4 linked regions of the Struthio camelus genome follow. The protein of the gene in region 3 purifies or fractionates together with the protein of the main gene of each other region. This does not show direct contact. Links are inferred from orthologs where the notes say so. Each region holds a gene or a part of one and is shown on either strand. Other genes may lie near its edges.

What was found.
Region 1: the proteins of RPS6KA1 (region 3) and CSNK2B purify together in Homo sapiens (affinity purification with mass spectrometry; 4 studies listed by BioGRID and IntAct, with this or other methods). This does not show direct contact. The link is inferred for Struthio camelus from reciprocal best matches to the Homo sapiens genes RPS6KA1 and CSNK2B.
Region 2: the proteins of RPS6KA1 (region 3) and CDC37 purify together in Homo sapiens (affinity purification with mass spectrometry; 4 studies listed by BioGRID and IntAct, with this or other methods). This does not show direct contact. The link is inferred for Struthio camelus from reciprocal best matches to the Homo sapiens genes RPS6KA1 and CDC37.
Region 4: the proteins of RPS6KA1 (region 3) and HSP90AB1 purify together in Homo sapiens (affinity purification with mass spectrometry; 3 studies listed by BioGRID and IntAct, with this or other methods). This does not show direct contact. The link is inferred for Struthio camelus from reciprocal best matches to the Homo sapiens genes RPS6KA1 and HSP90AB1.

The regions. Positions count from the first base shown.
Region 1 is NC_090977.1:8,409-15,228, reverse strand, and holds CSNK2B (casein kinase II subunit beta), read left to right. Parts: upstream 1-3,820; 5' UTR 3,821-3,916; intron 3,917-4,392; exon of another isoform or gene 4,393-4,484; intron 4,485-4,544; exon of another isoform or gene 4,545-4,786; intron 4,787-4,867; exon of another isoform or gene 4,868-4,985; 5' UTR 4,986-4,996; coding exon 4,997-5,068; intron 5,069-5,162; coding exon 5,163-5,265; intron 5,266-5,708; coding exon 5,709-5,824; intron 5,825-5,899; coding exon 5,900-5,975; intron 5,976-6,109; coding exon 6,110-6,299; intron 6,300-6,389; coding exon 6,390-6,480; 3' UTR 6,481-6,698; downstream 6,699-6,820. Other genes in the region: NFKBIL1 (NF-kappa-B inhibitor-like protein 1), read right to left, coding at 1-119, 345-581, 685-712; GPANK1 (G patch domain and ankyrin repeat-containing protein 1), read right to left, coding at 1,573-2,020, 2,098-2,711. UniProt on the Homo sapiens protein: Regulatory subunit of casein kinase II/CK2.
Region 2 is NC_090972.1:4,865,976-4,873,717, reverse strand, and holds the start of CDC37 (hsp90 co-chaperone Cdc37), read right to left. Parts: upstream 3,009-7,742; 5' UTR 2,962-3,008; coding exon 2,776-2,961; intron 52-2,775; coding exon 1-51. UniProt on the Homo sapiens protein: Co-chaperone that binds to numerous kinases and promotes their interaction with the Hsp90 complex, resulting in stabilization and promotion of their activity. Inhibits HSP90AA1 ATPase activity.
Region 3 is NC_090964.1:7,012,180-7,019,279, forward strand, and holds the start of RPS6KA1 (ribosomal protein S6 kinase alpha-1), read right to left. Parts: upstream 3,016-7,100; 5' UTR 2,922-3,015; coding exon 2,859-2,921; intron 1-2,858. UniProt on the Homo sapiens protein: Serine/threonine-protein kinase that acts downstream of ERK (MAPK1/ERK2 and MAPK3/ERK1) signaling and mediates mitogenic and stress-induced activation of the transcription factors CREB1, ETV1/ER81 and NR4A1/NUR77, regulates translation through RPS6 and EIF4B phosphorylation, and mediates cellular proliferation, survival, and differentiation by modulating mTOR signaling and repressing pro-apoptotic function of BAD and DAPK1.
Region 4 is NC_090944.1:104,477,873-104,485,059, reverse strand, and holds the start of HSP90AB1 (heat shock protein HSP 90-beta), read right to left. Parts: upstream 3,006-7,187; 5' UTR 2,678-3,005; intron 2,587-2,677; coding exon 2,440-2,586; intron 2,263-2,439; coding exon 2,056-2,262; intron 1,738-2,055; coding exon 1,578-1,737; intron 1,397-1,577; coding exon 1,263-1,396; intron 793-1,262; coding exon 478-792; intron 38-477; coding exon 1-37. Other genes in the region: SLC29A1 (equilibrative nucleoside transporter 1), read right to left, coding at 5,819-5,930, 6,586-6,785. UniProt on the Homo sapiens protein: Molecular chaperone that promotes the maturation, structural maintenance and proper regulation of specific target proteins involved for instance in cell cycle control and signal transduction. Undergoes a functional cycle linked to its ATPase activity.

The sequences.
Region 1 (6,820 bases), on a different chromosome or scaffold from region 3:
TTTCGGGGGGCCCCTGGCGGCATCGAGGCTGCCCTGGCGGCTCCGCTTGCGGCGGTGCTCCTCCGCGATGCGGTCGGCCCAGGCATCGTAGGGCTCCGGCTCCGGCGCGGCGAAGTCCTCTGCGCGGGGGGAGAGGGGAGGGCTGAGGCAGGCAGCCCCACGGCGCGGGGCTCTGTGGGGCAGGGAGCACCCCCCGGCAGCCCCGCTGCAGGCAAGGGGAGCTCCTTGGGGCGGCGAGAACGGAGATGGCGGCTTCCCGGCTGAGGGAGCGCGCGGGGTTGCCACGGGGCTGCCGAGGGGCAGGGCGTGGGGCTGCGTGCGGGCCCGCCGTGGGGCAGCCGTACCTCGGTAGCACTGGGGCTCGCCGCACTCGTCCTCCCACTCCTGCAGCAGCCGCTGGCGCCAGCCGCCGTCCGGGCTGGGGGGCTCCGGGGCGGCCTGGGGGCGGCCGGAGCAGCCGTGGGGCAGCCGTGGGGCAGCCGTGGGGCTCCCCCACCCCCCGACCCCCCGCCTTGTCCTGCCCCCCGGCACCTCCGGCTCCGGGCAGCGGCACCGCGGGGGCGCGGGGGGCTCCTGGTCGCCTGGGGACAAAGGGGAAAGGTCACCCGGACGCCTGGGTCCCCAGGGCCCGGGGGGAGGGGCCCCGGATGCCTGGGCCCTCCGGGGGGGAGGGGAGGGGCTCACCGCGGTGCCGCCGCCGGTGGGAGCCCATGGCGGCCCCGGGCGGAAGCGGCCCCGCAGGGGGCGGAAGTGGCGACAGGGGAGGGCGGAAGCGGCGGCGCTGGCGGGGGGGGGGGGCGGCGTGGAGGGACCCGCGCGGGGGTGACAGGGGCCAACGGGGCCCAAAGGGGGCAACGAGGGGACCAATGAGGGCACCAGTGGGGATCACCGGGGTGAACGAGGCTGCACGGCACGAATAGGGATCAATGGGGGAAGGGGAATCAGTGGGGATCAATGGGGCGAAGGGGGATCAATGAGGTGAAGGGGAATCAGTGGGGATCAATGGGGCAAATGGGGATCAATGGGGGAAGGGGAATCAGTGGGAATCAATGGGGCGAATGGGGATCAATGAGCTGAAGGGGAATCAACGGGGATCAACGACGTGAATGGGGATCGGTGGGGATTGATGCTGTGAATGGGAATCAGTAGAAACCAACGGAGCAAACAGCAATCAACGACATGAACGGGGATCGACGGGGACCGACAGCATGAATGGGGGTCGATAGGGACCGACAGCGTGAATGGGGATCGATGGGGACCAAAGCGCTGAATAGGGGCAGAAGCAGATCGAGGGTGCGAACGGGGACGAAAGACTCGCGCGGGATCAATGGGGACCAAAGCGGTCAGCAGGGATCAGTGACGCGAATGGGGGTCAAGGGCAGGAACGGGGTCCGTGGGGTTACGCCGCGCCCCGGCAGGTCGGACTCACCGGCGGCACCGCAGCGAGCGGCTCCAGAGTCCTGGGCAGCGCCAACCGCGTCGCCCAGCACGCGAAAGCTGGGTTTCCGCCCCGATTTTGCCGCCAGCGCGAGGGGGGCTGGGGCGAGCCCCGGCGGCCGGGGCCGCCGGCGCTCAGCGGCCCATGTAGGCGCGGAGGTCGCGCTCCCAGGCCCGGGCGGCGGCCTCCCGGCGCTGGGCCTGGCGCTTCCCCGCCGCCCCGGCCCGCTCGGCCCTCGGCTTCGGCGGCTCGGCCACGGCGGCGGCGTCGCGGGCCTCGAAGTGGGTGACGCGGGGCCGGAGGTCGCTGGGGCAGCCCAGGCCTCTGTGGTCGCGCTTGAGCAGGGTCTGGACGGGGAAGCGGCGCCCGTCGCCGGCGGGGCCCAGCCCGGCGCGGCCGTCCCAGCCGCCCTTGACGAGGAGCCGGAAGCCGACGTTGGTCTCGGGGATGTGGTAGCGGGCGGGCGGCGGGGGGTCGCCCCGGCTGAGGAGGTGGGCGGTGGAGCGCTCGTGCTGCGCCGCGCTCTCCTCGGCGTAGTGCGTCCCGCAGACGCCGCAGAAGCGCCGCTCCGCCGGGGCCGGCCTGCGGCGGGGAGAGGAGGCGTCAGGCAGGGCCGCGGGCGCCCGCTGCGCCCCGCCGCCGCCCGGGCACCGACTCACCGCGGCGCCTCCTCGGGCTCCGGCCGCCACTCGCGCAGCAGCCGCGCCAGCCCGCGGTGGCCAGCGTCCTCGGCCAGCCCGGCGGCGTCGCGGCCCCCGGCCTCGCGGAAACCCGTTCGGGCGGCCCCGCGGCGCAGCAGGTAGCGCACGGCGGCCGCTCGCCCCGCGCGGGCCGCGCACATCAGCGCCGTCCAGGCGAAGCCGTCCCGGTAGTTGACGTCGCAGCCCTCCTTCTCCAGCAGCCGCCGCAGGGTGCCCAGGTCGCCGTCCTGAGCCGCCTTCAGCAGCGCGTTGCCCCGGCGAGTGTCGGTGGGGCCCGACGGGGCCGCGGGGGGCTTGCGGCGGGCCCGGGGCGGCTCGGAGGGGGCCGGGGGCGGCTCGGCGGGCGGCACAGGCGGCTCGGAGGGGGTCGCAGGCGGCGCGGCGGGGGGCACAGGCGGCGCGGCGGGGCCGGCCCCGTCCTCCCCGGCCAGGAGGCTCTCGTAGAAGCGCCGGGCCTCGTCGCCGGCCTGGCTGCCGGGCTCGGCGGGGGCGGCCGGGCGCCGCTGGAGGTGTCCGTCCTTCCAGCAGTCGGTCTCGTCCCGGGCCCGGGTGAAGGCGATGAGCTGGGCCATGGCGGCGCCCGGCGGCGGCTCAGGGCTGAGGTGGGGGGAGAGGCCGGGTCAGGGCGGCAGTGGGGGAAGGGGGGGATGTGGGGCAGGGCCCTGGCAGGGGAACAGCCCTAGAGAAGGAGGGTTGGGGCTGGGGGGGGGGGGCAGGTGCCCAAGGAAGGTTCAGGCCTAGGGATGTGGGGCAGATCCTGGGGAGGGGGGAAGAGCCCTGGAGGGGGTCGGTGGGGCAGGTCCAGACTTGGGGGGGGGGTCGGTGGGGCAGGTCCAGACCCGGGGGGGGGGGTCGGTGGGGCAGGTCCAGACTTGGGAGGGGGGTCGGTGGGGCAGGTCCAGACCCCGGGGGGGGGTCGGTGGGGCAGGTCCAGACTTGGGGGGGGGTCGGTGGGGCAGGTCCAGACCCGGGGGGGGGTCGGTGGGGCAGGTCCAGACCCGGGGGGGGGTCGGTGGGGCAGGTCCAGACTTGGGGGGGGGTCGGTGGGGCAGGTCCAGACCCCGGGGGGGGTCGGTGGGGCAGGTCCAGACCCGGGGGGGGGTCGGTGGGGCAGGTCCAGACTTGGGGGGGGGTCGGTGGGGCAGGTCCAGACCCCGGGGGGGGTCGGTGGGGCAGGCCCAGACCCGGGGGGGGGGTCGGTGGGGCAGGTCCAGACTTGGGAGGGGGGTCGGTGGGGCAGGTCCAGACCCCGGGGGGGGGTCGGTGGGGCAGGTCCAGACTTGGGGGGGGGTCGGTGGGGCAGGTCCAGACCCCGGGGGGGGTCGGTGGGGCAGGCCCAGACCCGGGGGGGGGGTCGGTGGGGCAGGCCCAGACCCGGGGGGAGGGGGTCGGTGGGGCAGGCCCAGACCCGGGGGGAGGGGGTCGGTGGGGCAGGCCCCGGCCCTGGGGGGGTGATCCCGAGGCGGCAGCGGTGGGGCAGGTCCCCGCGGGCAGGCCGCACCCCTCCAGCCCCCCAACTCACCATAGAGACGGCGGAGCAGAGCGCCAGGGCGCCGCGCTCCGGCGCGCAGGCGCAGCCGCGGGGGAGGGGGGGCGCGCAGGCGCACCGCTACGGCGGGCGAGGCGGAGGGAGCGCGCGCATGCGCGTCGGCCACTGGCGGACCGCCACCCCCCCGCGCATGCGCGCGCCGCCCGGCGGCCGTTGTCGCGTCCCCCAGAAGCCCCCGCGCGGCGCCGCCGGGGCCGCGCTGGGCTGCAACGACGGCAGCGCGGGGCGGTGAGTGCGAGGCCCCGCCCCCCGCCCCGTGGCCATGGTAACGAGGGACCCCCCCCCTCGGGGGGGTTAAGGCCGCTCCCCCGCAGAAACACCCCTTTCCCCGGTAGTGGGATAAGCCACGCCCACTCTAGCGCAGGCCCCGCCTCCTCTCGCGGAGCCGGGGGGGGTATAACGGCCCCCTCGCGGTTGTAGTTCTCAGCCCCCCCCGCGCCATTCACCCCTATGGAGGAGGCGGTGCCGCGGGACTACAACTCCCGCCGTACCTCGCGCCGCCCCACGTGACCGGCCCCGGCCGCGGGTCGCGCAGCCGCACTCCCTCCGCCGCGTCACGTGGTGGGGGCGCCCTCCCACCCCACTCCCTTCCGCGCGGGGGCCGCCGGGAGCTGTAGGCGGGAGGCGGCTCGCGATTGGCCGGCGGAGGGGGGGGAGGCGGCTCCCGCGGCGGCGCGGACTCCAGTTCCCGGCGGCCCCCGCGGCGGCGCATGCGCGGGACGGCGCGGCGCAGGGCGGCCTTGCTGCGGGGAGGGTTGGCGCTGCGCGGCCCCTTGTTCGCCCCCTGAGAGCCGCGGTGAGGGGCCCGGACGCCTGGGCCCCCGGGGGGGCGGGGCCGAGGGGGGCCCGGACGTCTGGGTCCTGGGGGGCTGGGGTGAAGGGGAGCCCCTAAGTGAGGGAGGGCCGGGCCCCGGACACCTGGGCCCTTGAATGGGGGGGGGTGAAGGGGCCCCCGGACACCTGGGCCCTTGAGTGGGGGGGGGTGAAGGGGTCTCGGACGCCTGGGCCCTTGAGTGGGGGGGTGGTGAAGGGCCCCGGGACGCCTGGGCCCTTGAGTGGGGGGGGTGGTGAAGGGGTCTCGGACGCCTGGGCCCTTGAGTGGGGGGGGTGAAGGGCCCCGGGACGCCTGGGCCCTTGAGTGGGGGTGGTGAAGAGGTCTCGGATGCCTGGGCCCTTGAGTGGGGGGGGGGTGAAGGGGTCTCGGACGCCTGGGCCCTTGAGTGGGGGCGGTGAAGGGGTCTCGGACGCCTGGGCCCCTGGCGGGGGTCATCCCGGCCTCACCGCCCGCCTCCCCCAGACTCCGGGACCATGAGCAGCTCCGAGGAGGTTTCCTGGATCTCCTGGTTCTGCGGCCTCCGAGGCAACGAGTTCTTCTGCGAGGTGAGCGGGGGCCGCCCGGACGCCTGGGTCCCCTTGGGGGGGGGCCGGGGGGTGCCCGGACGCCTGGGTCCTCACGCCGCCTCTCCTGCCCCAGGTGGACGAGGACTACATCCAGGACAAGTTCAACCTGACGGGGCTCAATGAGCAGGTGCCGCACTATCGCCAGGCGCTCGACATGATCCTCGACCTGGAGCCAGGTGCTGGGGGGCTGCGGGGGGGCCCCGTGGGGCCCCTGGGGGGGCTGCGAGGGTCCCTACGGGGCTTGAGAGGGCCCGGAGCGGGGGTTGAGGGTCCTTGGTGGGTCCTAGGGGAGCTGCAGGGAGCTGGGGGGGTCCTTGGAGAGGTCATAGGGGGCTTGGGGGATCTCGGGGGGAGCTGGGGGGGGACCAGGGAGATGTGGGGGGGCACAGGGAGGTCCCGAGGGGGTCGGGGTTCTAGGGGAGTTAGGGGGGCTCCTGGGGCATTGGGGGGCCCTGGGGGGGCCGTGGAGGTCAAGAAGGGATCGCGAGGGGGTTCGGCGGTCCTGGGTTGGGCTCGGAGCCTTTGAGGGGTCTCGGGGGGGGTCGGCGCCCCCCGAGGGGGGCTGGCGGGGGGGGGGGGGGGGCCGGACGCCTGGGTCCCCGCTGACCCGCCCGCGCAGACGAGGAGCTGGAGGACAACCCCAACCAGAGCGACCTCATCGAGCAGGCGGCCGAGATGCTCTACGGCCTCATCCACGCGCGCTACATCCTCACCAACCGCGGCATCGCCCAGATGGTGGGTGCTGCGCCGCCCCGGGGCCGGGCGCCCCCCCCGCGCCCCCCTCACCGCCCCTCTCGCTCCCCCCCCCAGCTCGAGAAGTACCAGCAGGGCGACTTCGGCTACTGCCCCCGCGTCTACTGCGAGAACCAGCCCATGCTGCCCATCGGTAGGGGCGGGGCCCGGACGCCTGGGCCCTGGAGCGGGGGCCCGGACGCCTGGCTCGGCGGGTGCCGGGGAAGGGAGGGTGGGAGGCGCGGAGGGGCCCGGACGCCTGGGCCCCGCTGAGCCGGCCGCGCGCAGGTCTCTCGGACATCCCCGGGGAGGCGATGGTGAAGCTCTACTGCCCCAAGTGCATGGACGTCTACACGCCCAAGTCCTCCCGGCACCACCACACCGACGGCGCCTACTTCGGCACCGGCTTCCCCCACATGCTCTTCATGGTGCACCCCGAGTACCGGCCCAAGCGGCCCGCCAACCAGTTCGTGCCCAGGTGAGCCCCGGCCCCTTTTTCTCCGCAGCGTTCACTCTGGGGCCTACTGACAGCCCAGCGCTGTCCCGATGCTTTTTTTTCTTCTTCCAGGCTGTACGGTTTCAAGATCCACCCCATGGCGTACCAGCTGCAGCTCCAGGCCGCCAGCAACTTCAAGAGCCCCGTGAAAACCATCCGCTGAGCCCGCCGCCCCGGACACCTGGGTCCCTCCTCTCCCCCCGCAGCAAGGGGCCGCTGCTGCCTTGTTTTTCCTTTCTTTTTCCGTCGCGTTTTTTGGGTCTGGTCCCTCGGGGCAGGGCTGAGGCCCCTTCCCAGTCCTACGTACTGTTTAAATTAATCTGTTTTTGGTTGATTTTTCTCAGAGTTCAATTACAAAAAGAAAGAAGTTCAGAAAACCGGGCCACGAGCGAGGTGGTTTTTTGTTCCGCCTTCGCGAAAACCCGCCCAGTTGCTTGTTGTCGTGAGAGCGACCCCGAGGCGGCGGCGGGAGGGAGGGAGGGGTGGCTGCAGGCCCCGGCGCG
Region 2 (7,742 bases), on a different chromosome or scaffold from region 3:
ATCCAGCTCCTCTTTTTCCTTCTGGAACTGCTCCATCCTCTCCACTCGAGCCTGCAAGCAACAATTTACACTTTTAAGACCCTCAAGAGAAAAACAAATAGATAGTCTGGAAGACTGCAGTCACGAAGCAGCAACATCAGCCTCTCCAGTGCATCCAGAGCCCACAGGACTTTGAATCATCCCTACAACGGCCAACAGGAGCTCGCGACCGGAGCTCAGAGTGGGCAGCTGGCTCTGGCTATTCAGGCCTGCACTGTGCAGTGCTTCCTGGGGAAGGGTGGGGGGCTCTTCTACCTCCTCTGGAGCAGGCAAGAATTGAAACCACTTCAAGACAACAGCGGGATATTTCTGTTTAGCGTTCACTATCTTCCACACCCCATTAGCTGACTTGGGTTCTTTAGCCACGCTTCTCCCGTGACACTGACACACGCACAGAGCCTCCCTACGCTGTTAGGTAACGGCTCGCTGCAGTGTAGGAGACGCGTGCTCCAGGAAGCCTGACATGCTTTCCCAGATCGCTGTTATTCTTTGTGGAACACAGCGAAGAACAAGAAGTCACATACCCTCCCCCAGAAGCAGCTACATTAGGAGCACAAGGTGAGAACAGACGCATCTTTCCTCAAAAAGATCTCTTTCAAGAAAGATCAAGAGGCAGAAGAGCTGCGTTCTCTCCATGCACAGCTCCACAGGACGAACCTGGAGCAGACGCTGCACCACAACATATTCCAAATGCAACATCAAGCCTACGCTCACCTGCCTCAAACAAGCCCTCCAAGCTAAGCACTAGCATTTTGTTTGAACTGGAAGCGGGGGCAATTTAATTTGCACGCCAGCTTCATTTTTCTTCACTGTCCAATTTTTAACCACCCTTCCCTTCCTCCCACAGCCTGTGCTGCTAACCCCCAAATATCATATTACTTGGAGAAAAGGATTGTGAGTCCCTAAGGATTTCTTCTGCTCAGACTAGGCAGCGCAGGTCTGCGCACCTCCTCCACACAAGGCCGGGACCCTTCCTGCCTTCCTATCCAGGGCCCTCACAGGAAGCGGGAAGAACTGCCTTTCACTGTTATTCCTCTGCTTGTTTGAGGTGAGGACGCCTTTAGCGGAGGAAGCCAGCCGGGAGCACACGAACTCACTGCATTCATTCTTTACCTGCAAAGAAACTTGTAGTTTCCTCTCCTCACATTTGGGGGAGGGGGAACCCACAGAAGCAGCGCACACATGCGCTTAGCCAGTATCCCATGAATCTGCCTCTCTCAGTCACTGCCTCCTCCTGCAGGTTTATTACCCTTCATGGGCAGGGGAATCGCAGCAGAAAGAAACAGCTTGCTAGAAGCACAGGGAGTTGCCAGAACTCGGCGCAGCCCTTCCAACCACATCCATGAAACCTACGCAACAGCGACGGGACGCGAAGCTCTGAGTCCCGAGAGCAGGCACTGGCCCCAGGTGAGGTGGGCTACCCCTGGCTTCTCCAGAGGGAAGCCGGGTTCTCCCCGGCGAGCGTCACCTGGCCTGACAAGCTAGGGTAGCACAGGGCAAGCATAAGGGGATAAATCAGTCATTTGAGGAACACAGGCAAAAGGCTGACACGCGGCACTCACAGGGCGCTTCACCGTGGCGCTGCTTTGACCCAGCAGACAAGTCACTTCCACTAATACCCAGGCCCGCTCTAGGGGCGTCAGTGGCATGGTGCCGCAGAGCCTCACAGACAGATCGCGATAGCTTCCAAGCCTCCGCACCAGTATTAGGCAGAAGAGACTACCTCGGGCTGGCTAAGCTCCTAGCACAGTGACTTGGTCAGAGGGTAGCATCTCCCCAGGCCCAGGGAAGGGACAGGGCAGGCACCAGCCTGGGGCTTCCTGGCAGCTGCCCTGGACCCCAGGGCAGGGCCTAAGGACTGCTGGCTCCCAGGGCCTTGGACAGTGTGCCCTGAGGAAGCCTCCTGGAAGGGCCCTGAGGGACAGGGGGAGCCATGGGGACAGGGGTCACAGGGAGCCAGTCCCCACAGCAATAGGAGCCATGGGGGAACCCCTGGCCCAGACACCATGGGGCCAGGTCAACATGAGGATAGGGGTCATAGGGAGCTGGACCCCAAACAGATGAGGGCCATGGGCTCCCCCATGGCCCAGCCACCATGGGGACAGGGGCCAGCAGGAGACCCCAGCCAGGCCAACAAGGGGATGGGGGCCAGGGGGACTGGTCACCCCAGTGACAGGGAGGGGTAACAGGGGAGCCCCCAGCCCAGGCCCCATAGGAAAGGGAAGGGTCTCAGGGAACCATTACCATGGGGACAGGGGGGGGCCACAGGGGAACCCAGGACCCACAGACAAGGGGGGGTCTCAGGGAGCTGCTACCATGGGGACAGGGGGGTCACAGGGGGGCCCCCAGCCCAGGACCCACAGACAAGGGGGGAATCTCAGGGAGCTGCTACCATGGGGACGGGGGGGGGCACAGGGGAGCCCCCAGCCCAGGACCCACAGACAAGGGGGGAGTCTCAGGGAGCTGCTACCATGGGGACAGGGGGGGTCACAGGGGAGCCCCCAGCCCAGGCCCCATGGGGAAGGGAAGGGTCTCAGGGAGCTGTTACCACAGGGACGGGGGGGGTCACAGGGGAGCCCCCAGCCCAGGCCCCATAGGGGAGGCGGTCGCCATGGAAACGGGGTCACGGGGGAGCCGGTCGCCATGGAAACGGGGTCACGGGGGAGCCGCGCCCCGGCCCAGCCCGGAGTCGGGGGGGGGGGGGGGGGCGCTGCCGCCGGCCGGCCGGAGCCCGACCTGGTGCCGCCACCGGAAGAGGCTGGCGGTGTCGATGTTGGGGTGCGTCTCGTCCTCATCGTCCGACACCTCGATGTGGTCCCAGACGCTGTAGTCCACCATGGCGCGGCCGCGCTCCGGGCCCGGCTCCTCCGGCCTCTTCTGGAAACCTCCAGCGCCCGCGCCCGCCCACTTCCGCCCGCACATGCACGCACTTCCGCCCGCGCCTGCGCACTGCGCCTGCGCGCCCGCCCCGCCGCGCAGGGCAGAAGCCGGAAGCGCCGCGAGGCGGCGGCGGCGCGCATGCGCGGCAGCCTCGCCCTGCACAAAGATGGCGCGCCTCTTAAAGAGACACGCGCAGGCGACGCGGGGGTCGGGGCAGGGCCTCGCGTCGACCCCCCCTAGCCCCAGTGGGGACGGGGGGCGCTTCCCCCCCCACCAAAAAAAAAAGAGGTGATGCCAGAAGCACCTGCCTGCGGCACCCCGAGTGCCCCAGTCCATCACCCTGGGTGGTTGTCCCAGGCCCACCCGCCACCCATCCCACCCGTCATCCCGTCCTGCCCCATTGCGACCCCCTGTCACGACCCAGTATCCCATCCTGGCCACCCCAACCTGCTATCTGGGATGGCTGTTGTGGCCACCCCAACCCTGCATCCCGACCCACCAACCCAACCCACCACCCCGATTCTCCATCCCAACCCTCCATCCTGACCCACCAACCTGACCCACCATCCCGACCCACCACCCCGACCCACCACCCTGCGCCACCATCCTGATCCTCCATCCTGATCCTCCATCCCAACCCTCCACCCCAACCCTCCATCCTGACCCCCCACCTCAACACTCCATCCCCACCCACCGTGCTGACCCACCACCCCGACCCACCATCCTGGCCAGCCACCGCAGCCACCCCGACTGTCTCGCCACTGCCAGCCCCCCATCTGCCCGCCCCGAACTGCCACCCCGCTGTGCTGGGGGTGCTAGGGGTGCTGGGGGTGCCCGGTGCTGGGGAGCAGGGGGGGTCCCAGTACCGGGGGTGCATAGGAGTCCCAGGGAGGGTGCTCAGTACCGGGGGTCCCGGTATCAGGGGGTGCTCGGTTTGGGGGGTGCATGGGGGTCCCGGGGGGGTCATGCCCAGTGCCAGGGGGTCCCAGTGCCAGAGGTGCTCGGGGGTCCTGGGTGGTTGCCGGTGCCAGGGGTGCCAGAGGGGTCGCGGTGCTGGGAATCCCGGCGGGATCACAGTGCCGCGGGTCCCAGGGGGGGCTGGTACCGGGGGTGCTCAGGGGTCCCGGGGGGGCCGGTACCGGGGGTGCTCGGCGGTCCCGGGGGGGGGCCGGGGCCGGGGGTCTCGGGGATCCCGGGGGTCCTGGGGGGGCCAGTACCGGGGATGCTCGGGGATCCCGGGGGGGGCCGGGGCCGGGGGTGCCGGTACCGGAGGTGCTCGGGAGTGCGGGGGGGGCCGGGGGGCCACGGCGCGGTGCGGTACCCGCGGGGCCGGCCCCCCCGCCCCCCCCCCCGGTTCGCTCCGCCCGAGCGGCTGCGCCTGCCGGTACCGGGGCGGCGGCGGCGGCGGCGGCGGCGGGGGGGGGGGCGGGAGGCGCCGCAAACAAAGGCGGCTGGATGCGGCCGAGCCGGCGGCGGCCAGGTACCGGGGGCGGCACCGGGGGGCCGGGGGGACCGGGGGGGCCGGGGGGGCCCTCCCCTCCCTGTGCAGCCGCCGCGCTCGGGCCCGGGCATCCCCGGCGGGGAGTGGGGGGCAACGCCTCGGGGGCACCGGGCATCCCGGGGGGACCGGGAATAATGGGGGGACCGGGAATCCCGGCGGCGCTGGGCATCCTGGGGGGACCGGGCATCCCAGCGGGACCGGGAATAATGGAGGGACCAGGCATCATGGGGGCACCGGGCATCCTGGGGGGATTGGGAATCATGGAGGGACCGGGCATCCCGGCGGCACCCGCTATCCGGAAGGGATGGGGGGGTGCAGTGCCGTGGCAGGACCAGGCATCCTGGTGGCACAAGGCATCCCGGGGGGACTGGGAATCATGGGGGGATCGGGCATCCCAGAGGGACCAGAAATAATGGAGAGACCGGGCATCCCGACAGCACCGGGCATCCTGGGGGGACCGGGAATCATGGGAGGACCGAGCATCCCAGCAGCACCGGGTATCTGGAAGGGATGGGGAGGATGCAGTGCCGCGGCAGGACCAGGCATCCTGGTGGCACAGGGCATCCCGGGGGACCAGGCATCCTGGGGGCACTGGGAATCATGGAGAGACTGGGAATCATGGGGGGACTGGGCATGCTGGGGCACCAGGCATCGGGAAGGAATGGGGGGGATGCAGTGCTGCAGCAGGATCAGACATCCCAGCAGCACCGGGCATCTCAGGGGGACCGGGAATAATGGAGAGACTGGGCATCCTGGGGGACCGGGCATCTTGGGGGACCAGGTATCCGGAAGGGATGGGGGGGGTGCAGTGCCGCGGCAGGACCAGGCATCCTGGTGGCACAGGGCATCCCGGGGGGACCGGGCATCTGGGCAGGACTGGGCATCCAGAAGGGATGTGGGGGGTGCAGCGCCCCAGCAGGACCAGGCATCCCAGGGGGACCAGGAGTAATGGAGAGACCGGGCATCCCAGGGGGACCAGGCATCTCGGGGGGACCGGGAGTAATGGAGGGACCGGGCATCCCAGGGGGACCAGGCATCTCGGGGGGACCGGGAGTAATGGAGGGACCAGGCATCCCAGGGGGACTGGGCATCTTGGGGGACCGGGTATCCGGAAGGGATGGGGGGGGTGCAGTGCCACGGCAGGACCAGGCATCCTGGTGGCACAGGGCATCCCGGGGGGACCGGGCATCCCAGGGGGACCAGACATCTCGGGGGGTCCGGGAGTAACAGAGGGACCGGGCATCCCAGGGGGACCAGGCATCTCGGGGGGACCGGGAGTAACGGAGGGACCGGGCATCCCAGGGGGACCGGGCATCCCGGTGGGACAGGGCACCCCGGTGGGAGCAGGTGCCCCATGCGGGAGCCCCCTGGGACACAGCGCTCGGGGGTCCCCGCGGCCGGTCGTGCTGAGGGGCCCCGGGAGCCCCCCGGGGGCAGTGGGGCTGCGGGCAGCGAGCCCCCCGCTCCCGCCCCGCCGGGAGAGGCACCGGGCGTCCCGCGTTTCGGGAGCGTCCCGGCCCTGCGGCCGCGCTGCCGGGGCCGGCCGTGCCGCGTCCTGCCGGCCCCTTCTGCGGCTTCGCCGGCGGCGGCGGGTCGGCGAGACCGCTGCCACCCCATCACCCGTCCCGGCGCAGCCGCCCCTTTCCCCCGGAGCGCCCCGAAATCCCAGCCGGGGAGGGACGTGCGACGCCGTTCCTTCGCCCCGGCCGCCCGCCCCCGGCCGTTTCCGCTCGCGGCTTGGGCTTCGCCGCTCGGCGCGGCGTCACCGGCCCCGGCGCCAAGCGACTGCGAAGCAGTTAAATAGGCGGAAAATTCCTCCCGAAGCCGGGGCAGGCGGCGGGGGAAGCCGGGTGCGCTGACCTGGGGGCAGCCCCCTCCGTGCTGGGGGGAGCCGGAGCCCCAGCGTGGTGCTGGCCGCTGCTGCGATGAGCGTGTCGGTGCTCAGCCCTGCTCCTGCAGCCCCGGGTCCCGGCGACGGAGCGCGAGCAGCCCGGCTGGGCCCCCCCGGGGCGGCGGGGGCGGCGGGACGCAGCCCTCACCCCACCGCTCTCTCTTGCAGGCCCCTGCGCCCCCCGTGCCCCCCGCGCCGGCCCCCCTGGCCCCCGCGGCCGGAGCGCGGGCAGGACGGCCGCTGAGCCCCCGCGCCAGGCGGCTGCATGAAGAAGAGCCGGAGCACCCTGGCCGTGCCCGAGGACCAGGTGAGCGTGGCCCTGGGCCGGGGGGGCAGGGGGCCGTGGACCCCCGGCACTGCCCGGTGCCCCGCGGACACGCCGCCTCCGGGAAGGGGGAGCCGGGCAGAGCTTCTCGCGGCCGGCTTGGGGCCGGGGAGAGCGTGGAAACGCGGGTGGCTGCCCCGTGCCCGCGCGCGCGCCTGCTCGGCCAAGGGTGCGCGTGTGCATGCATGGCTGCAGGTGCGTGCGTGTGCGTGCCCGTGTGTGCGCATGCCCGTGTGTGCATGCAGGCAAGTCTGAGTGTGCAAGCGCATTGGGTACGCGTGCACGCACGGCTGAGGGTGTGCATGTGTGCACACATGTGTGTGTGTGCATGCACGGCTGAGTATGCGTGTGCGTGCATGCGCGTGTGTGCCCATGTGTGGGCAGCCATGGGTGTGTATGTGTGTGTGCCCATGCGTGCACAGCCAAGAGCACGTATGTGTGTGTACGTGTGTGCGCATGCATGCACAGCCAAGTATGCATGTGTGTGCGCAGACATGCACGGCTGAGCGTGCATGTGTGTGCGTGCATGCGTGTGTGCTTGTGCAAGCGCATGTGTGTGTGCAGCGAGGGCGCACTCATGCCTGGCTGAGCATGCAACTGTGCTTGTGTGTGCACACGTGTGCACGAACACATGCATGCACATCCGAGCGTGCACGCGTGTGCTTGGCGTGTGGACGCAGCGGGCTAGCGGGAGGGGGCGCCGCGGGGGCCAGCGGGGCTGGGAAAGCGGCTCAGTGCCGTGGCCCCGGGCGCCCCCCACCCGGGGGCAGTGGCCATGCTGGCTCCCCCCCCCCCCCCGCCCCAGCCCCAGCCCCAGCCCCGGCCCTGGCGTGGCTCCTCACTGCACCGCTCCCTGCAGCAGCACCTGCCGGGATTAATTAACCCCCTCTAATTCCTCTGGCCAGTGCAATTAGCCAGTTCGTTGGAGCCATGCCTGGGCTGCCCCGAGGGCCGGGATGCTCCGGGCTGGGTGGCGGAGGCCCGGGGCCCCGGGACCGGCCGGCTGCCGCCCGGCTGAGCCACCCCCGCCTCCTTTGCAGGAGCCGCCGGAGCCGCCGGAGCCGCCGGAGCCGCCGGAGCCCGGGCGCCGCAGCCGCTCGGAGGCC
Region 3 (7,100 bases):
TCTTGCCTAGTGCAATTTAGAGAAAGGAAATAATTCTGCAAAAATAAAGATTGCCAGCAGAACTGCCATAGCCCAAACGGACTGAGGAGTCAGCTGCGCTGCGCACAAGGCATATCAGAGACTAAACTCACATAGCTTCCTGCTGTATCTTCTGATCATTGTTTTATGCATCGTTCAGCTAAGATGCTTGGAAAAGATAGTTACTCGTGAATGGCTGCTGCTCAATAAAAGAGAATACATATATACCGGCAAAAATAATTAGCTCGAAGTGATTAGGTTTGTGGTAATCCCACGTCAGTTATGTTGCTGTATGTGTTACAAGACAAGAGCTTAAAGAAAAGCACAGCCTAGATGACAGTTTCCATCGCTATGGTGATGAAGTCATTCAACTCCACTCTATCGCTTGTACTCTGCCCCAGCCAGATTTTTCAACTACATAAGCAATATTCTGAATGATATAAGCAGGAGAGAGAATAAGGGGAAAAAAATATGAAACCAGCTCAGTCCCCAGGACAGAGGTGGATCCACTTTTCTCCTGCAACAGATTAGTCCTAGCTCCCGCTGCCACCCACCCCCACGCATTTTCCACGGAGCAGCTCCACGCTGAGCGCCGGCAGGCCGGGACAACAGGCGCCAGCTGGGACCAGACCCCAGGAACAGATTGCTAGCGCTCCTGAAGTGCAGTGGAAAAACCCCAAACCTGCAGACAACAGGCCCGGTGCCTTCACCAGCACAGTGACAGCACCTCTGCTCTGTGACTCAGAAAGCAAAGGTACAAGGAAGCCGGTTGAAAACCATGATGGCAGAGATCCAAGGGCAATTTACGTAACTGACATTCCAGAAGAGTCTCCACCTTGCCCAGAAGAGGTTAAAATCTTCTCCCCAGGCCTCTACCCTCAGCCATTTTTACCTCGCAAGGTGCAGAAATCCCACCGAGCCTACGTCCCTCTCTGCAGCCTGCAGATACGCTGCTACAGCTAAAGGAACATGCTAACGTCTGGCACAGGCGACGGCAGCCAGGTTTAGAGGTGAAGAACATCCATCCTGTTTCTCTCACTGGAAGCAAGAGCATGTGTTTGCTCTCCTCAAACCAGGGGAGGATAAATTGCTAACGTCCCACTCCAGGTGGAGATGCAGCCCTCCTGAGGTTTCAGGAAAGTGATTTTCAGAAATATCACATGCAAACCGCTCCCGACCGTGGAGCTGACCTAGAGCTCTAGGCAAGGTGAGATGGGGGAAGGGGATAGCCGAGAAGTGAGAGTCAGGCCCCGAAGTTTCAGTTTACAATTAACACATCGGTTACTACTCCAGTGGGGAAAATAGTTCTTGCTAACTATGATCTTCACAGCTGACTCCAGCTGACAAATATACGGGAGCTCCCCCCGAGCTGTTTCCGGTCAGAAGAGATCTCGTGATTTTGACACAGCCAGCTGACTGGCACCTGAAAGACGTAGGATTAAGCAGTAAACCGATCTTGCCAATGGCATTTATTGCCCTGGGCACTAGCATTAGTTTTCTCCCGTTATGAGTTTAGTTTTGTTATTTAGCTTTTCAAGATATCTTCCTATTTAGGAAGAGAGAAACCACCAACTTAAAGAGCCCTGTGTTCTAGCTCTAACCTACTCCGGTACCCTAGACAAGCTCCGAAGGCACGACATGGTTTCCAGGAATCACGATCCAGTCGTTGCAGGCTGAGCAACCTCCCTCCTCTCCCACTTTCGAGCACAAACACATCCTCATGACTCCAGCACTGCTTCCGAGCAGACGCGCCGAGCCCGCTGCCGGGTGCGTCCGCACCTTCAGGCCAGATGATGTGAACCCCCAGCACATGCAGCGCCTCTGGCATGGGGAAGTCTCTAGGAGAAGTCTTGCCACATCTGGTTGATGAAAATTAGGCAACCTCACCCATTTTTGTTAGCAGACCTCTATCTGTTATCATTGCAGCAGGAGTGAAACGTTGCCTCCGCTGAAGGCAAAGATGTTTTAAGAGGCAGTTTTAAATAGGAATGAGCAAATCTAACCACTCAACCATCACAACATCTCTAGGCATGAGATGAGGTAAAGGAGCAAAACCGAGAGCACTGAATACAGCCAAGAGGATGGGAGACTGCGAGGGTCCAAATACAGGGGTTGGGACAAAACCCACAACGGCCATATCATTTGTTCAGGAAAGAGGCTAGTTCTAATTTGGATTAGAAGATGCTTAACTAAAGGTTGCCGGAGCACACTGCCTCAGCTGGCTGCTTTGCAATGGGTGAAAACTCCTAAAAGCTGTGCCTTTATTCCGAAACGGTCGTGGCACAACCCTGCAGAGGCAGACAGCTGATGTGTCCTGTGCATCTGGGTTCGAGGCCGTAATTAGAAAGGAAAAAGCAAAGCATCCACCAAAGTAACAGGGGAGCATGACAGGGTGCCTGGGAGTTTGAAACACAGGCAGGCCTCTCAGGACAGCTGGTCTAGGAAGAACAGCAGCGAGGGAGCCCTGAAGAGGAAGACTCGGCACATGAAGCATCTATTCCTCGGGCCCCGGGCAGGGCCCGTGCCCCTCTACGTCTGGGAGCACGTCTGAACGGGCAGCGGCGGGCTGCCGAGCGCCGCGCCGCCCCCCCCCCCCGTTCCGCAGCCCATCACCGTGCCTGCCCGAGCCCGGCCCGCACCGCTTCCCGCCCCCCGGGATATGGGGCGTTGGGGAGGGGGGGGGGGTCGCCCGCGGCTCCCGAGCGGGGCCGGGGGGGGCCCCGGCAGCACCGGCCCGGGCGCTCCTTTGTTCACCGCGGAGCCCGGCGGGGCGGCCCGGGTCGTCCCCCCCCGCTCCGCTCGGCTGCGCCGCCCGCGGCGAGGGCCGGTGCCCCGCTCACCTCCGTGTCCAGATGCACCAGCTCCATGTTGGGCCAGGGCTCGGCCAGCTGGGCGAGCGGCATGCTGGCGGCGGGCTGCCCCGCGGCGCCGGGCCGGGTCGGGCTGGGCTCGGCGCAGCGCAGCGCGGCGCCCCGCGCTGGGCACCGGCTCCCCGGGCTGCCCGGGCCGGGCCGGCAGCGGCGGGGCGGAGCGGGCCGGGGCGGAGCGGAGCGGGGCGGCCGCGGGGGGCGGCGCGGCTCCGCCCGCAGCGCGGCTCGGCTCGGCGCGGCCCCTCCGCTGCCCCCCGGCCGGGCTCGGCCAGGGGAAAGGGCCCCCCTCGGGAGCGAGGAGGCCGAGGTGGCCACGGGCAAAGCGAGCTGCTCCCCTCCGGCAGCGAGCGAGCGAGCGGGTGTGCGTGCCGGCCGGTGGCGAATTCACCCCAGGGCCGAGCCCACCTTTGGGAGCGGCGAGGCCGGTCAGGGGAAAAAACCTTCCCCGTTAGCTCTCGTGAACGGCTGCAGGCTCTGTGCGCTTTGCGCCCTGACAAAATTTGGATGCGCCCGTTAGCCAAACGGATCTTAAAACTGCTGGTAAGCTGCTGCTCGCTCCGCATAAGGTGAGCGGGGCAGTCACTCGGTGCTCCTCTCTGCTGAGGAAATCCTCAGCAGCACCAAGAAGCAGCTGAGCAGCCAGCTCTGGGTCAGTCACTGGGTGCCCAACTCTCTTTTGTGCCTGGGAAAGATTTTTTTCCTCCAGAGCTGGAGGAGTTGTCTGCTGCTCTGCTGTACACACAGTACTACAAAACATCCCCGAAGAAGAGGGTTGTGAGGATAAACTCTGTGACAGACGATTCAGGCTGCTGCCTAAAGCAGGAAACCACCCCGGGAAATCCGGATTCTAAGTTTGTGATGCACAGTGAGTCACGGCTCATCACTGTTTGCAGCGCACCCCCCCTCTCTTTTTCCCGTTCCCAACAAAACATGGATTAAAAAAAACCATATCCACCTTTCTGAGATGTTTAGAAGCCTGCGGAGGAAAGGTGCCTTAAACACACGTGCTCACAATTCATTGCTATTCTTACTTGCTAGGCTTCTCAAATGGAGAAGTGTACTCTTCTACTCATTTTTTTAAGCCAAAAGCCAAAGCACAGCGTTTTCATGTTCATTATAAAATTATTTCTAACAGAAATTATTTTTTCAAGGGTGCATCGCTAAGCATTGACTTCATCAAGGCATAGCTGGAAGTATCACTTAATGAGTCCAAGTGAAACCGCGCTCAGCTTTGGTTTTGCATTCTGTAGGGCACCTACCCCCAAAAGCCAGTACAGCCCTTAAACCTGCAACTTCTTCAGGCTGGGCAGTGAACTCAGAAAAAGCTGAATTAGGGCAGAGAAAAACAAAGTACGTCTAAACGTTCCAGCTGATCTTCACAACACTTGAAGTTAATTTGTAAGTCATCCTCAGAACCTGCTTGTGAGTTATGTTAGTGCTGCCATCTTTTTCACATGTTGGGGGGAATTGAGTAAAAAAAATTCCCATGGGTCACAGTATAACTGTTTGAGCCAAGTCTGGGAACTGCTCTCTCCCAACCGTACACTCAGAGCCCCTCTCTGCCATAAGTTTTGGACTCCCACATGAAGGCATTAAATAACACAACCAGAACGGTACTAGCAAGGTCCTGTTACAGCCAATTAAACTCACGTCACTTACTGTGGGAGCAAGCTGAAGCAGATCTTGTGCAGAGTTATTCATTTAGCTCCAAAGCTGTCCATTTCCCCTCTTGCCTGGTGCACGGCGTGCCGCCGTCTGGTTACATCCATCCTCCAGCTGGTGCAGACTGAAACCTGCTTTAAATGGCACCAGTAACGTGATGATGTCAATACTGGCATCCCGTTTACCTTCTTCATTTGTTTGCAAAATTCATCGCCCTTTTTGGATTTCCTTCTGCTCTGCGTGTGTGTGTCAGACGGGTCTGGAATAGGAATGCACAGACAAATGAGCAAAGGATGACACTCTGCATGCTTTATAGAAGGAGAACAAAATGAAACGCTAACGTGCCCTGCCATGCTTCAGTGCTAAGCCCCTTGAAGGTGACCTGTGAACATCACATCCCAGCACACTTGGACATTCCCACCTGAATGGAAAAAACAAAGCAGAATATTTAAATCATAACAAATGACAGGCACAAAGGCCATTTCCCATCAGCTGACCCATGCAGAGCACCTCTCAGCTTCAAATAAGAGCTGTGCACAGGAGTCAGGTAAGATCAGGTGCCAAACAGTGATCTGGAGCAGCTGAGGGGGTAACCTAAGCCAAGGTGGTCATTAACTCCTGAGAAATCTCCGACCTCAAGGCCATGACTGTTATTGTAAACAGTGGAAAAAAGTTAAAAAAGGAAAGAAATTCCTTTTGAAGTGTTGAAAACTGGCAGTTACCTGGCTAGTTACAGAGTGGTACAGTAACCAGTTTCTACTGGTTAGCAAGGCTTAATTTTCAAGGTCACGGTGAAAGGTTGACAGACAATATCTGGAGGAACGGTCTGAAACACAGAAAAAGGCCTATTGGATTCAGTGAGGGAAAGGAGAAAGGAATCCACTGCTGCTTCCGCCCCCCTGGTAGGTCTATTGAGATGCAGAAAGTCCTTCATATTTCACAGCAGAAAGACAGGCCAGCTCACCGTGCGTTTGACAAAAGACAGAAATTATAGAACTTTATGGAGCAATGATTTCTTTAGGCTGGAACGAACAGAGAGCTCTACACCCACAGGTGCCATGCACCCAAACAAAAGTATCAAATTATCCTGCCTGGTTTTCATAATAAAACAGCAAATTAAAGATACTAGGGAGACTAACAATGACTTGTGCGTGTCTATGCTCTCCATTTATGAAGCTACTTTTATTAAAGGCTAGGAAAAGGTTTTGCTAAGGTAGCTCCACAGTATCCTCAAGACTGAACTAGCACCCTCACCCCCCACCTCCAGCCCCCAAGACTAGCTAACACCGTAGCGATTCAGCAGCAATGCTGGGCAGGACTCAAAGAGAAGCAGTGCTATCTAGTGCTATCTATCACCAGGCTGACCATCCTTCCTTTGATTCCTGCACTAGACAACACTGACTCACAGTTGATTAACAGAATATGAGACTTCCCGCTCCAGACCGGTGGTAAGCCCAGAGCAGTAAGTTTAGGTAAGTGGAACGAGACAGTGGTGTCCCCCCAGCGTTTATTTCCTAGTCAAAGAACAGCTATACAAAGCAGCCCCTTTGCCACAAGCTGGGTAGAAAAAAATGTTTTTTTGAGTTGAACGCCAAAGCCTGTTGTTTGGGTAACTGTTATGGCTAAAAACAGTGATTTATATATATATATATATATATATATATATATATATATATATATATATATATTTACACACACACACACTGCCGTTCTTCTGACAGGGCCGCAGGCTGGATTAAGGTTCGTAGTAGGATTCCTACGTTTCCATTTAGACCGCTGCTGCTACAGGTAAATGGAGATCTCCAGATCGGCTGGATGGCCCTTTCACCATTATTACATTTGCTGAAAATTCAAAATGCTGCAAGTTTTTTTTTTTTTCATTTTAAAAAAAAATCAAATCCCCCTCAAATACAATTGTAGATATTTTTGCCTCTGCAGTTGCCTGGCTTGTGGTGTGTAACATTTTCCTCTTCAGGAAGGTTGACAGCACTCACTAAGCCAGTTATCCCCAAAGAGCCACTTCCAAAGCGGAAGTATTGAGACTCATCCTTATCCACATTACCAAATCCAATCAGGTTTTGAAGAGGCAGAGGTTTCCTCGTTACGTTAAAAGCTGCCTAAGCGATTCTCCACCTAACCATATATAACACAGTGTTCCCATGGCTCACTGTATCCATTCTTTTCTTTTTACTGAAGCCAGGGAGCATCTTCCTTTAACTGCATGCTACACTGCTTTTACACATATAAGGAAATGCAAAAAGATTGCACGCATGAGAATTCACAAGCTGAGTCCCAAATGCCTGCTACAGTTTACAAAGACAGACTGGTGTAGTCTGCTTTGTGCACACACTACAACAGTCATTTAATTAGAGCTTATAGCAACCTTCTTTGTATTTTTAAGATCCACTAATCAGTTCCTTAGTTCATTGTTGTTCCCATTCCACTAACAGAGAAACCGAGTCACGTTTTCACTAGGTCATCAGGCTAGAACTTGAACTCCACGTCCTGTCTTCTAATCCCCAGCTCTCAATGTAAGATCTCATTTCCTTG
Region 4 (7,187 bases), on a different chromosome or scaffold from region 3:
GGGCCCTGAATTCCAGCTGCCCTTCTACAGAGAAGTGCTGTGGGGCCAGGAAAGAAACACAGCTGCTGTGATGATTCCCTTCTACAGCTTCTGTCAGGACCCAGCGGCCTGCTCTGGGCAGGCTGAACTGCCATCCCACAGGGCATGCAGAGGGACACAGCAGGCTCTCCAGCATGCAAACAACCTGCATTTCCCTCTCTTCCTCCTCAGCTCCACTGTCTCCTGCTACCCTGACTGCCAGGACTGTCTGGCGTTCAGCAGCCCTAGATGACGAAGTCATGCTGCTCCAAGGCCCAACGCCCTCCCATTCTCTTTTGAGGGTAGCACTGCTCATCCTACTGCCTGCACAGAAGTCACAGGGCAGGCTGAGGCACCACCAAGTGGCCTAGGAACTCTCAGTCCTGCACTGAAGCACAAACACGAGGTGGCTTTAAACATGGAGTGGAAAGGAATCCTTTCGTCTTTTTCAGCACCCACCTTGACAGCCAGGTGGTCTTCCCAGTCATTGGTGAGACTTTTGTAGAACTCGCCATATTCCTCCTGGGTGATGTCATCAGGGTTGCGTGTCCAGATGGGCTTGGTCTTGTTCAGCTCCTCCTGGTCAATGTATTTCTCCTTAATCTTCTTGGTCTTCTTCTTCTTCCCTTTATCTCCCTCTTCCTCCTCATCAGAGCCCACATCCTCGATCTCGGGTTTCTCCTCATCCTTGGAGGCTGACTCCTCCTCCTCCTTCTCGCTTTTCTCCTCTTCTGCTTCATCATCACTAATCTCTTTCTCACGCTCTTTCTCCAGCTGCCAGGAGAGGAACAAGAGAAAGTCAGGGCCATGAGCCCAAGCTTAGCCCCAAGCAAACACTATCAGGAGTCCTTTTGCCCCAGAGAAGAGGAACACACGCACTCCTGAGCGTAGCTGAAATCAGCTCCAAGAGACCTCTCATTGCTCACAGGACTAAGGGCTGGGTCTGAGGAGATGAAGTGAGGGGCAGAAAACTCTCCTGTCTGCAAGGCTGGTTTACATGATCTCTACACGCACAGAGATCAAGGGCCAGGAGCATGACTGGATGCCCCCCACCTGCAATAGGCCCCCAGCCTCAAAACACCTCCGGCCGAATAAGGCTGGGGACACCGTCGCTCAAAACACAGCAGCCAGGAACTGGAAGGGAACGGAAGACACACTACTCTAGTTTTCTCCATCTTTCTGTTCCCAACATACGTCTCTGCTCTAGCTTTCCAGTTGGTCCCCAAAGTCCTTCCCTTACTTACATAGAGTGTAATAGGGTAGCCAATGAACTGGGAATGTTTCTTCACCACCTCTTTGACACGCCGCTCCTCTAAGTACTCTGTCTGGTCCTCTTTCAGATACAGGATCACTTTAGTGCCCCGTCCAATAGGCTCACCTACAGTGTAGAAAGAGAAACGTTAGCGCTAGAGGCATAGGGCAGCTCCTTAGGCCCAGCCACTACCAGGTACTTCACGTTAACAAACTCGAGTTTGTTAACTCAAGTCCAGCCCAGGAGAACACCACAAAGGGGGGCTTTCTGGATGACAGAGATAAACTTACCTTTGTACAATACATACCATGGTCAGTCCGAACAGTGAAGGAACCCCCGGCAGATGACTCCCAAGCATACTGCTCATCATCATTATGCTTAGTAATAACCACAACCTTCTCAGCCACCAGGTAGGCTGAGTAGAAACCCACACCAAACTGCCCAATCATGGAGATATCTGCACCTGCCTGCGGAAGCAGAAAACGACAAATAAAGAGAGAAGGACGCAAAACATGCCTGCAAGTGATTCGCAGCAGCAGAGAACTAGGTCAGCAGGCAGAGATAAAGTGGGAAGTGCCCACAGGCAGGCAGCCCTACCCTGAGCTCCTCCCTGCTACAGGAGAGGTGGGGAAACATACGTAGGCAAGCCAACAGCTCCCACAGCAAGACAGAGGCAGGGCTGGGTGCTGACTGTCGGGCATGCTTCTATTGTAAGGAGGGGGTACACCCCAGTGAAAGTCTAGGGCCCAGGCTGCAAGAAGCCAACACAGCCAAAGGCAACCCACCTGCAGGGCTTCCATGAAGGCCTTGGTACCAGATTTAGCGATAGTGCCCAAGTTGTTGATGAGATCAGCTTTTGTCATCCCAATACCAGTGTCCACCAGGGTGAGCGTGCGGTCTCGCGGGTTGGGCACAATGTCGATCTTGAGGTCCTTGCCGCTGTCCAACTTGGAGGGATCAGTCAGGCTCTCGTAACGGATCTTATCCAGCGCCTAGGAGGGGGAGAGCAGAGCGCGTGCCTTGGCCTCGGGACTTCGCGGCCACCTCCCGCGGGCCGCCCCCGGCCCGGGCACCCCGGGAGGGACACCAGCCCGCCCCAGGGCCCGGGGAAGGAGAGGAGGGAGGGCAGGGGAAGGCCCCACGGGCGGGTGGGCCGAGGCGAGGCTCACGTCGGAGGCGTTGGAGATGAGCTCCCGCAGGAAGATCTCCTTGTTGGAGTAGAAGGTGTTGATGATGAGCGACATGAGCTGGGCGATCTCCGCCTGGAAGGCGAACGTCTCCACCTCCTCCTCCCCATGCTGCACCTCCTCAGGCATCTGCAAGGCAAGCACAGGCCGCTGGCACCGGGGGCACGGGGCGCCCCGGGCCGCGGCGGGGCGGCAGCGCGGGCGGGCCCGGCGCCCTTACCGCGGGCGGCGGCCGTTCCACACGCGGCGGCAGCTGACGGACCTAGAAAAGAGCAGCCGCCCCCTCCGACCCCTTTTTATAGCGACGGCGCCGCACCGCCCGCCGGCTCCTTCCGCCTTAAAAGGGCCTGGAGAGGCGCGGCGGGTCCCTGCGGCCGGGAGGCTCCTGCCTCACGCCGCATCCCGTCCGCGATGAAGGGAGAGCGAGGTCGCTTCTCCGAAGCGCCGTGCCCCTCCGTTGGGGGCCTGCAGGGTGGGTACCACAGACACCCCCGTGCTCCCCCTCCCCCCCACTGCCAGCCGCTGGGTGGGCCCCACTGCAACGCCCTTTTAACCGCGGCGGCGGACATGACTCGGGCACCTTCGGCCCGAGCGCCGCCCCCAGCTCCGCCCCGCCCCGCTGCCGCAGCTCCGCCCCCGGGGGGGCGACTGCCTGCCTGCCGCCGTCCCGGGGGAGGGACCGGCGGCCTTCACCGCCCCGCCGCCGCCATTCTCCGCGGCCTCCGCCCCCGGCGGGGTAGCGGGAGGGACTATTTCCCGCGGGCGGCGGAGGCGCACTGACGGCGGGTGGCAGCGAGGCGGCTCCTTCCAGAGGCTTCCACGGGACGCTCCGGCTGGGCAGGGTCGGGTCGGTGCCCACCCGGGGACCTCGGCCCGGCCCGGCCTGCCGCTCTCTCGGCTTCCCCCTGAGCCCCAGCGCCGGGGGAGAAGGGCCGAGGGGGGCACGGCCGCGGCCTGCCCGTGCGGGGACGCCCTGGGTCCTTCCCTGGCCGTGCTTGGAGCTGTGAGCAGCTCCTCAGCTCGGCTGATGGCGCGTTATTGTCACAGTCATCAGGATGCCCTCAAGTGCTAGAAGGGAGATGAGCTTTTTTAATCCCCCCGTTGGTGTTTCCTCGGCAGTGCCAAGGTGCAGAGCGGGGATCTAGGCTGGGGGTTGTATAGGAATGAGCTGGGGCGGCAGCAGACACGGTGCCAGAGGCCCAGGGCAGAGCTTGTGTGCCCTGCCCCCGCCATCTTCCTGGGGGTTTACGGCCGAGCAGAACAGCATGGGGGCTTCCTGTTTTAACTTCCTCGTGTGTCAGGATCTTTGGCCATGTGTGAAACACCAGCTGCAGGCTTGAGCACCTGTCGGTAGCTGTGGGGTGGGTGGGGGAGCAGCAGGGAAAGCCAGGGAAGCGTCAGCCCTTTGGGTAGTTTACAAGGCACCTTTTTATCCATATGCTACGTTGCTGGCAGCTGTCATGCGCAGGGCTCTTCACTCGGTGCAGGGAGACAACAGCTCCCCTGAGGCCGAGAGCCAAGCGCCGAGCAGCTGGCTCCAGGCGCATCTTTGGCTGATGAACTCGTGGCTCTGCTGTCCTGACCTTTCTGAGACTGTGGGTGCAAGCCAGGAGCGGACCGGGGCAGCGCGGAGGGGGAACACGCAGGATGGAGGAGACAGGCAGCAGCGGAAGGGCTTTGCGGGAGGACCTGCTGCAGGGGTCACGTCAGGGCTGAGGGGCGCTGGTGGAGCTGGGTTCAGAGGGCGGAGCAGACCCGTTTCCTCCATCAGAAGTCAGCTTGGCAGGGAAGGTGTTTGGAAAGCAGTTTTTAGCAGCAGCTAAGGGCACACAGGATAAATCCTGTGCCTTATCCTTTCTCTTGGAGCTGCAGGCGCGTAAGTCTGAATCCCTCACGGGGCAGAGCTGGGGCGATCTCTGACCTCTGGGCACGGCTGCAAGAGAAGCCCCAGGTAGCTGCTAGCAGAAGGCGGGATGAGGGGACCTGGGCCCTACAGTTCTGGGCCTTTTGGGTCTGCGGGGAGCCGAGGCACTGCAGCAGGTGAGCCCGTGGAGCTGAGGAGGCGATGGCCGTGAGCAGCGCGTGGGGCAGGGAGGCCGTGCGTGGGGGCCGTGGCCACTGGCGAGGTGATGTAGTTCTCCCCAGGAGCAGGAGGTGGCACTCCAGCAGTTCCAGGCACAGGGAAGGCTCCTGGGTGCACGGGCTGCTGCTGGCTGCCCCCAGCACATGCAGGTGCCTCCGCCCCTTCTCAGAGGTGCCAGGGGTCTGCCCCAAGGCCAGCACCCCCTCCTCATCTCGTAGCAGTGAGGTCCTGGGGGCGGGCACACCGCTCAGCCGCCTGGTGCTGGCCACAGGGGACCCCAGGGACACCCTTTCAGCTCTGGCCCTGCTCAGCCCCAGTGGCCCTCCTCCCTGTGGTGATGGAGACAGACACACATACCCAACAGGGCATTTTGGTCTTTTTATAGAAAAAGGCAACTGTACAGATACATTTACAAGGCAGGGAAGAGACAATGGGGGAGGTCAGGCTCCCCCTGCAGCAGGGGGGGAAGCAGGGCAGCCTGGGTGGGAAGGGAGCCGCCTGCTTTCCTCTCGCACTTCATGGTGCCATCTCCTGTCACATGAATAGGAGACAGGAAACAGTGGCAGAATCATTAACCAGTTTTTGAGGGGGCTGGGAAATAAGCAGGCAGGGAACGAAGGCAAAGAGAGCGGGAAAAGGCAGGGTGTGGAGACCTCTTCCTCCCTCAGTCTAGCCATGGTGTTGGATGGCAGCTCTTCGTGTAGGACATGGATATCCATGTCTCTCGGATACTACTGTGCAGGAGGATGTGCTTGTAGCAGACAGTGGGGATGAGGAGAGCAAGGCTGGCTGGGGCTCTCCTTCCTATTTTCAAGTCTCCCCAGTAGGGGAGAAGTTGAGATGTGAGATGTTTCCAGGCCCCCTGGGAGACAAAAGGAGATCCAGTCCCCAGGTGCCTTGGGAACGCGGGCGGGAGAGGAAACAACACTGGACACCAGCCCTCACTTCTGCCTGTCAGAGAGGAGGTAGCTGAGAATGGCTTTAGGTCTTGAGCTGGGGAAGTTACGCAGCACGAGGGGATGGCTGGACCTCTGTGAGATCCCAGGGGTCTTGCAGCATGGCAAAGGCACGAGGGCCTGAAGGCATCACACAGCTGAGCATGGCAGGAGCCAGGCCAGCCCTGGAGTGGAACTGTCCCTGGCTGTAATATCTGCTTTGGCAGTGTAATTCGGCAGGGGCAGATGTGGTGTTTTCTCCCCATGGCGTTGAGGTGTCCAGGGCCTCAGAGGAGGATGCAGAGCTGTCTCTCCGTGTCTGTGCAGCCTCCAGGTACCTCTGCTAGATGAGAATTCGGAATAGGAAGGAGACAGCAGCTCCTAGGGCCAAGCCCAGCGAGAGGAAAAAGGCCATGACTGATCCAGCTGTTTCTGCTTCATGGGCAAGCACTTTCCTGTGGGAGAAACAAGTGTCAGACCCATCCTGGGGAAAGCATGCTCTGTGCCCCGCTGTGTCCTCAGTTGCAGCGACGGGACGAGACCTCACAGTAGGCAAAAGCTGCGTCCCTCGCAGCAGGGGGGTGGCAAGAGCAAAGCCTGCTCGGCTCCAAGAGCTTCCCTCTAAATTACGGGCTCATTAAAAAAAAAAAAAAAAACACACATCAGGCAGGCTGCCCTGAAGCTCCTGACGCCAAGAACACCCCTCCCTGGCTCCTGCCCTGATGCACTGCAGCCTGCTCAGCTGAGCCTCAGCAGGCCTCCTCTTGCTGCCTGTGTTCCTGTGCTGGACAAGGCTGCTCACCACATTGTGTATGCTGCTCTGCCTTTTGCTGCCTCCAAAGTCCTGTTGTGTTCAGCCTCTTCCCCAGGGTGGCACATGGGGAAAATGAGGAGCCCACACAATAGCATCCTCAGCTCTAGGATGTAACACAAGGCTGGGAGAGAGGACACTGGGGTTGTCTTCCCAGAGGGGAGGTGGTGTGGCTATCTCCCTCTGCGCTGGAGGAATCCAGGTGCCAGAGCTAGGCAGAGCCTGGACTCAAGGAGCCAGGCCTGGGCTGACATCCACAGGTGTAACCAGCTGTTCCCCTGTCCCCAGCTGTTACTCACTTGGGCCCGAAGCACATGCAAAGGCTGGCCAAGTAGCCGTTGGAGATGGAGAAGAAGATCATGAAGACGATGTACCAGGCATCATGAGAGAAGACGACAGGCAGGTAGTTGCGGGGCTGCACGTTGCACAGCATGAAAAGCGGTATAAAGATGACACGTAGGGCCACCATCGCTGGCAGGAGACAGCTGTCCTTCCCAGGCTGGGAGAAAAACACACGTCACTGAGTAGCTGAGTTCCCTGTCCCATGGCACGTCAGCAAGGGCTGCAGAAGGGCTGTACCTGCTGACTACTCTGAGGCCGAAGGGAACCACACAGAGGGCAAAGTTGCTCAGGCTTTTCCTCATGTAACAAATCTTAGCATCACCTTTGGATGTGAGGTAGAGATCAGGGCAGTTCCTGACCCATTCTCTGCAAGGCTCCCAGACTCACAGCTCCTGCCTGCCTACTTTCAGCATACACCTCTGGGTCTGCCTGTCCTGATCCTACAGCTTCCTGCATCCAGTTACACGGGCTCCCTCAGCATCACATACAGCTATGTGAGGCTTGGGGTGCTCTTCTCTCTTTCTTTTCCCCCAGCCTTCCTGGTATCTGCTAGGCCACC